2 linked regions of the Styela clava genome follow. The protein of the gene in region 1 binds, or shares a complex with, the protein of each later gene. Links are inferred from orthologs where the notes say so. Each region holds a gene or a part of one and is shown on either strand. Other genes may lie near its edges.

Region 1 (3,758 bases):
TCCGTGTGATTTTCAAGTTTACCGACTCCACAAGATTGACTTCTTTGATGGTGACGTACTTTGCTTTTGATATTCGTCAAATTCAACCCCACGCGATCAAGAATTCCGTGAACTTTCTGAAAAGGGTAGATTATGGCCTAGGTGAAAAACTCAAAAATATTTGAAAATTAAATAATTGCATAACTCAGCTTATAACTTGCTTAGATTTCTATCGAGATGATCATTCTCCGTAGCATTAAATATCTTATGTTGGTGAAATGCATGACCAACCTTTATTTTTGAAATAACGTCTCCGAACTCCCGCGGATTTTCTTCGACGTTTCTCTCTTCCATCATTTCTGTTAACCTAGTAATTATTTGCGTTTCTTGGGAATAAGTTTGTCTATTGTGCATTATGACATCACACATGATTTATAATATTGTCAAGCAACTGTTCCTAATTGCTGATACTGTACTTTCTCTGTGTCTACGCGTTAGTCAGTGAAACCCCGTATGCACCGACTGCGAGAATACTATTACAATTTATTCAGTGGCTATTAATATAAAATATTAGGTATAGTTATTTGGAAACAGTTTCCATAACTAGGCCTTTTATGTACTCTTTCATTCTGATTTCATTTGTACAATATACATTTTTTTGTGATAATATGCTGATTAGGTACTCACTGTCCACCGACTCGTCATAATCACAACTAAGCCCACTATATTTCTATTAGCTTTCAATCATGCTGTTGTAAAATTTACCAGTATATTTAACTACGAGTCTTTTTCCATTCCCGAGTTAGATATACTGAATTAAAATGTTTAGTTGTATTTTCTCGGCTATAACATGCTTTCACACACATTTCAAATCGACAATTGATTGATTGAGCAGAGCCATTATATAATGGCTCTGGATTGAGTGTTACTGAGAAATGCTAGTAATTTTGTGCGTCAGGCGGTATTAGTGCCTAGTGGCGTGGTTACTTTTTGCTCTTGCTCATTCGATTCTGCGATTGCTGTTGCGTCAGGCCAGTCCTTCCTCGGTCAGTTCTCGTGGTGTTCTGATGACTGGCCATTATCGTAGATTGTTGTATAAAACCTGGCTGTAGTACTTATATACGACTAAGCGATGCCTTCAACAAAGAAAGGCAAGCCTCAAGGTGGAACTTTTGAACAAGAGAATGTTTTACAAGCTGTTGTTGTAGCAGACAGATTCGATGAAAAATTTCAACCTCTTTCTGATGACATTCCTTTGGTGAGTAGTGAGTGGTCGCCAGTATGATTACTTAATTGAAACTGCAAATTTACCACTTATAAAAACTGAAATATGTATAGCCAACAATTACATATACAGATATAATATAACTTATGAAGACAACACATCTCGAGTTCAATTAAAAATGTTTTTACGAGTCACAATTTTGCGTTCGTTTTGAATAATGGTATTTACTAATGAAAAATTAGAATATGAGGTACTCGATGTAGACGTGACACGAGAGGTTTTTCTCACTGATTTGAGGCTTGACTCAAAAAATGGAATGGGTCATCAGGTGTTCAAATATTCTGAGATTTTGTAGATTCATTATAGCGAAATTTGTGTAAACGATTATCAGGATGAGCATAATCATTTCTCACAAGTGTTTAAACATTTAGGCCCCTAAATTATCCTTTTCTATTTTAGGCATTGTTCCCCTTAGCAAACAAACCATTGTTGGATTACACGCTAGATTTTCTGTCATCAAATGGAGTTCAACAGATCTATGTTTACTGCTGTCATTGCTCTGGTCTGATAAAGGATTATATTGCAAACAGCAAATGGGGAGCCAAGTAAGAAAAGCAAAGAATTCATCTCCATTATGTGTGATGATCAAATGTCTATTATTATACAATGCCATTGCAGTATCAGTATTCAAATCACATGATAGCTTATCAATATTATTTATTGAATATGCCAATTCATTACAGTTTCACCAAATTCGTACAATAGATCAAATGAAAAAATATGGAATAAAATATATGAGCATTACTACTAGGAGAGTTCCATCCACAAAACTTTAACCCAGAAAATTTTGAACAAGTCTAAAAAATATAACACAATACAAAGAATCTATTGAAAAAAGATCGCACACTGGAGCTTTAGATAAGATTTTAATTTTGTCTACATATTTCACGAAGAAAATTTTCCATCTGAAACTTCCAGAGGGAGGAATTTTTTCTTGAAATTTTCCTAAACACCAGCGGTGCATATTTGTATTTTATTCTTTGTTTATTGTTTGATCTATTTTTTATTCAAACATATGTTGTCTTACAATTGAGCTGAAGCATGGCGTTTCTTTTGAATTATAAGAAGCTTGCATATTTTAAATAAACTATATACCGGTAATGAAATAAACAATACCTTTTTCAAATAATTCAATATATTTATTTTTTACCATTAGATTGCATTTATATATTTATATCCAAATATGGCTTATCAAAAATCTTTGACATAGTTAAGAAATTATCTACCAAGTATGACAAATATGTCTTTAGAATACCTTTTTCCAATAAATTTAATTTTCAAGTTAGTAGCTTCCTGCACATTAGTGGATGGTTCTCTAACGCCTTGTTTAGAGCAAAATTGTGGAATTTTTGTTCGAAATTACTAATCATTGACAAATTTTATTCCAGATCCTCTCAATGCCGAGTCACTCCTATTGTGTCATCAGATTTTACATCATTGGGTGATGTATTGAGAGACATCGATCAAAAATCGTTGTTTGAAACAGATTTTCTTCTTGTAGCAGGAGATCTGATATCGAATATGTCTCTTCAGCAAGCTTTAACAGAACATCGGTTGGTATTTGCGAAATATCTCGTCAATAAAGTAGGCTATGCTAATTGTGTACGTAGTCACAGACAATTGTTTAAAAGCTGATGAAATGATGAAAGATTAAACACATATTTTTGAATAAACTTCATTTGTTCAATACTGCTGTATAATTGACTTAGCTTAGAATAGTGTGTACAAATTAATATTAATATTGCCTCATTATTGTTTGGCAATTGAGATAATAACAGCAGTGTCTTCTCAGTCTTCCTAATAATGAGTAACTTGTATTTAATTCAATAAATGTGCAAGAGGAATTCTGGTCTCCTTGCTTTCATAGGGAGGTTCAAGTAACCGAAACCTGTTACAAATTTCTCCACCATAAAGTCATCTATAAAAAAAAATAGCACAAAATACACAGCATGCACTGGGAACCGGATGAAAGGCTGTGGTTCGCCATATATATATATATATATCTTATCGCCTTTCTTCTCTAGAATAAATATGAAAATCCTATCTTTCAACAGGCAAATATAACCCTTTTCACTGTTTATATTTTGCTTTCAGGGATAGAAGGACGAAAGATAAAAATAAGCCGTTGATGACACTAATTTTGCGTAGTTGTCCTCCCACTCATGAGATGAGATCAGCAGATGATGACATCGTTGTTGCTCTCGATTCTCATACTCAACAAGTTCTTTATTATCAAAAAATCGGTTTAACAAGGAAACCTAAATTTGAGTTCCCATTGGTAAGGCCACATACGTTTAGCATTCCGAATAATTTTAATGAATAGACACAGTTTTATTCTTGTGCCATTTGTTGAATCTCCATTATTATTATTATCAAATATCCTCGTTATTAAAGCACATCCAATCTTTTGTTCTGGTTACCAATTTGCCTTACTGTGAGTGAACACAGTTAAAAATATTTTGAAAAGCTTCCAATTCTGTTTCGTATTTCTATT
Region 2 (3,758 bases), on another chromosome or scaffold:
CGATGAACATCTGCTAATCGGTGAAGCTCAAAGTCACATAGTATATCACAACTCATCACAAGAAGATCACACTGAAAATATACATGTTTGATTTACTTTCATTCTCTACCTCATTTTAACATAGACAATACACTGAATTGATATAAACAAAAAATAAAGTATTGATAATATAGGATCATGACGTTTTACAGTTGATCAAGCAGACATAAGAAATTCAGGTTTTAAGATAGGATAGGAGTTTCATATTTATTTCAAGGCAGAGGAAAGACGATAAGATGGCTTAACCCTTTCCATGCGATTTTTATTTTTTATTAAATAATCGTATTTGCTACGCCGATTTTATGCATTTGTACCCCCACAACTAATCGATCGACTAACGAAAAACTAATGATCCTCTGCTGCCCACTGACGGCTCGTTGGAAAGCTTATTCAAAGAGCTTCCAATTGGCAATTAAAAAAAAAAGTTTTTTCAAAAGTGGTGGTCTGAGTCACAAACCGGATAGGAAAAAGGCATTTTTTTTTCTTGGGAGTTGAAACTTCAAACCGTGATAAAAAATAGAAATATTCGCTAAATCCTTTACTGTTACCGCTTCGTGGTTGGCAAACAACAGCATACTATTGCTGTAGCAATTTCGTGATCTAACTCAAAATACTTTGGTAGATAGAAGGGATAATATGTCTTCTATTACCACCCAAAAACACCGAAATTTGCATAAATTTCAAAAACACTCCCTCGTTCCGCCGCAAATAAAATTCCCGTCGTAAACGAAAGCGAGATTCACCGTCGCTTATGTTAATCTCGAAGAAGACTTCTTGTCAATAAACTAAAACCCGGAAAAACTAGACCAACAGTTTGCGACGGATTGCTAAATAAAACAGTGGAGTATATCAACATAACCCGCCGCAATCTAGCGACTTTTGTCGTGGGTACGTATACCTGCCCACCGCACGGAAAGGGTTAAACATATAGCAATACACAGTTTTTCGCCTGGTTCATGCCAGGTATGGGAATATTCATCTAGCTATTTGTCTCAGATACAATGACATGATGGTGGTGGTAGCTGTAACCCTACGGCGACGAGGAGTACAACCATCATCATGCACATAATTATCCCCCACAAGATTCGAACCTGTGAACTCTTTCAGTGTGTGTTTCTAACGCTTATTACTATGTGCCTACTGTACAGGCCTTGTCTGTATTTTGTATATAGATAAGCGGCTATTGTTCCAATATTCTTCATGAAAATATGTAAATAAAGTTCAAGTAGACAACAGACAGATAACCGTACATGAATACCTTTACTTTATCCTTGATATGTCTAAGAGAGTCTGTCGTTCCCCAGTCTAAATCTTCTGATATTCCCACAATATCAGCATTTATATTTTTCAGTGAAGATATTGCTTGCTTTACTGAATTTACTATTGAATTCATAGTAATAATTATGATTTCTGTAACAAGTGGAAAGGATAGATCTTAGTTAATAACACCTGAGACCCATTTGCTCTTTAAAAGTACAGTAATGACGGATGCTGACTTGAACTTCAAGTAAGAACCATTATGTAATATTTTTACTTATTTTTTTTTATAACTCGCGGTTCTGTATTAAATTTATATTGCATGCTTGACAGCCATTGATCAGGGCAAAAACACAGTAAAGTACAAACATTACTAGGTCTATTGTACTTTGGCAATTATAATATAGAAGAAAAAACATAAAAATGAAACTAAATTGCACAATATTTGATTTCATTTTATTACACATAAACTATGTGGATCAAAATTGCACAGCAAATGTATTTGGTTTGGAATTGCGAATGCGTTTCATAAGCACTAACAAGCGTTGCGAAGCAAATGTATCAAAATACTGGCAGTGCCAATTGAAAAAATTGCATGGAATTAAAGTGATTTAGGCCCATGTTCTATGAATAGGTGAAAATTCTGAAATCATTCAAACAGATTTACTGTAGTTCATTATAATTTTATTTAATTATGGCATGGGACATATTTGCCACATAAGAGTTGAATAAGGAATGTGTGAGAGTGAGACATAGCAGTTCGGAACTCGGATATCTTAAATTATACAAAGTCATTAAACGTCAAAACCTTAACAACAGAATTGTTTTAATGGGTGATGTAACGTATCGAAAACACCATCAAACTGGCCATTACAAAATCATGTCAATAAAATTTAATCGTATCGAGTTTAATACATATCTCCAACTTGACCATAAATTTGCCTAATAAAACAGCTGGTGAAACAGCTAATCTGCTGTCTATATGTAATTTGTACTTACCTCTGAAACCAACTCTTTCCAGTGTATTAACTGCATACCAGATCAGAGGTTTATTCCCAATAGGTAGAAGAGGTTTTGGAATGCTGGACGTTAAATCACTCATTTGATCACCCCTGCCTCCAGCCATGATAACAGCTTGAAATTCCATATTTTTTACCATATATAAGTTTATCAGTGCTATTCTAGTTTCTGATTAAATGAAATTATAAGTATTAATTGCATAATTTAACATATATTATTAAATAAATTAAATCCAATCCAATGATGATTAATATAATATAAAAATAGCCTTGATTGAAAATAATCTAATGTTTATATTAGGCACAAATTTTTTATAGAAGTTTACCAAATGTATTCACAAATGCCCACTAAAGGACCTGAGATATTAGCAAATAGCGATTTCCCATTACTTAAAACACTTCAAGTGAATACTGTCTGGAAAAACAGCATTTACTGTACAGCCTACAAAGCAGCTAAAAAAATAGACAGTGTGAAGATTCTACCTGCTTAACAAATTCAGTTTTCTCATTATACAGTAATTCTTTTATTATAGCCAGGTAGTACCATAAGCCTGCATCTGTGCTTTTCAATGGACATGCTTAATTATGTATGTGGAGAGATGTCTAACTTATATTGAAAACAAAATACTACTACAACACTGTTCAATCATGAGAAGTTTATAAGCGGTAAATTATAATTAAACATAAAACGAGAATATCGGTCAGAGGACGAAGACTTGTCGATCAAAAGTTAGGGGATCCCAAAACAGCGCTCTCACTCCATAGTGACACCTTGTGTCCCATCACTAATTAATTGATAACTTGCTAATTATACGACATAATTCGCCCAAAATCAATAAGCTTCTGGTACGAGATATGATGAATGCACATGCAAAATCTGCAGCAGATCCAATCTCGCTTTCGTGAGATATCGCGTGCATCTAACAGACAGACAGACAAATACCTATCAATATACTTACCGATTAAAATGGATAAGTAATAAAGCGGAAAACTAGGTAAGGCACGGAGAAGATTGAAAACAGGTGTATTAACATAGTAATTAGTATACAATAGTAACAATAGTAATTAATTTTGCTTGTTATGGAACAACTTTAACAAAAACACCAATTATTTCATCATCTTTGTTGAGCGCTGCAAACGAATTTTCCTACTCATGTAAACCTTATGTCAAAGCAAAATAAGAATTCAAATCTTCGTCAATATTACTGAGGCATATATCGGAGCATAACACGACTTTAAAAGTTTCAGTACATTGGGATAGTCATCAGCAGTGAAAAGTCTATATGTGAATTTGGGCATTCTATATCCCAATATTAGGTAACTATTATGTACTATAATATTGGAACAAAATTTCTATCGGTCAAAGTGAAAATTACAATTCAAATGAAATAAAGGAGAGCATAGTTGGCTGTCAAGTTAATCTGTGTTACGATACAGAATCAG

What was found.
Region 2: the proteins of translation initiation factor eIF2B subunit epsilon-like (region 1) and translation initiation factor eIF2B subunit gamma-like are in contact, whole or in part, in a cryo-EM structure (PDB 7VLK), measured with the Homo sapiens proteins. The link is inferred for Styela clava from reciprocal best matches to the Homo sapiens genes EIF2B5 and EIF2B3. Residues at the interface, in NP_003898.2 of Homo sapiens: Pro190, Val202, Arg222, Arg223, Phe224, Ala225, Phe226, Pro227, Leu228, Phe231, Gln232, Ser234, Ser235, Asp236, Gly237, Val238, Glu239, Val240, Arg241, Tyr242, Asp243; in NP_065098.1 of Homo sapiens: Arg155, Phe157, Glu178, Glu179, Leu180, Val181, Ile182, Lys183, Gly184, Leu187, Gln188, Pro191, Arg192, Ile193, Arg194, Phe195, His196, Thr197, Gly198.

The regions. Positions count from the first base shown.
Region 1 is NC_135263.1:12,251,137-12,254,894, reverse strand, and holds the start of translation initiation factor eIF2B subunit epsilon-like, read left to right. Parts: upstream 1-921; 5' UTR 922-1,111; coding exon 1,112-1,237; intron 1,238-1,663; coding exon 1,664-1,809; intron 1,810-2,652; coding exon 2,653-2,817; intron 2,818-3,358; coding exon 3,359-3,542; intron 3,543-3,758. Other genes in the region: uncharacterized protein LOC120340882, read right to left, coding at 1-116, 271-336. UniProt on the Homo sapiens protein: Acts as a component of the translation initiation factor 2B (eIF2B) complex, which catalyzes the exchange of GDP for GTP on eukaryotic initiation factor 2 (eIF2) gamma subunit.
Region 2 is NC_135259.1:11,791,544-11,795,301, reverse strand, and holds the start of translation initiation factor eIF2B subunit gamma-like, read right to left. Parts: upstream 2,506-3,758; 5' UTR 2,456-2,505; coding exon 2,296-2,455; intron 1,450-2,295; coding exon 1,298-1,449; intron 72-1,297; coding exon 1-71. UniProt on the Homo sapiens protein: Acts as a component of the translation initiation factor 2B (eIF2B) complex, which catalyzes the exchange of GDP for GTP on the eukaryotic initiation factor 2 (eIF2) complex gamma subunit.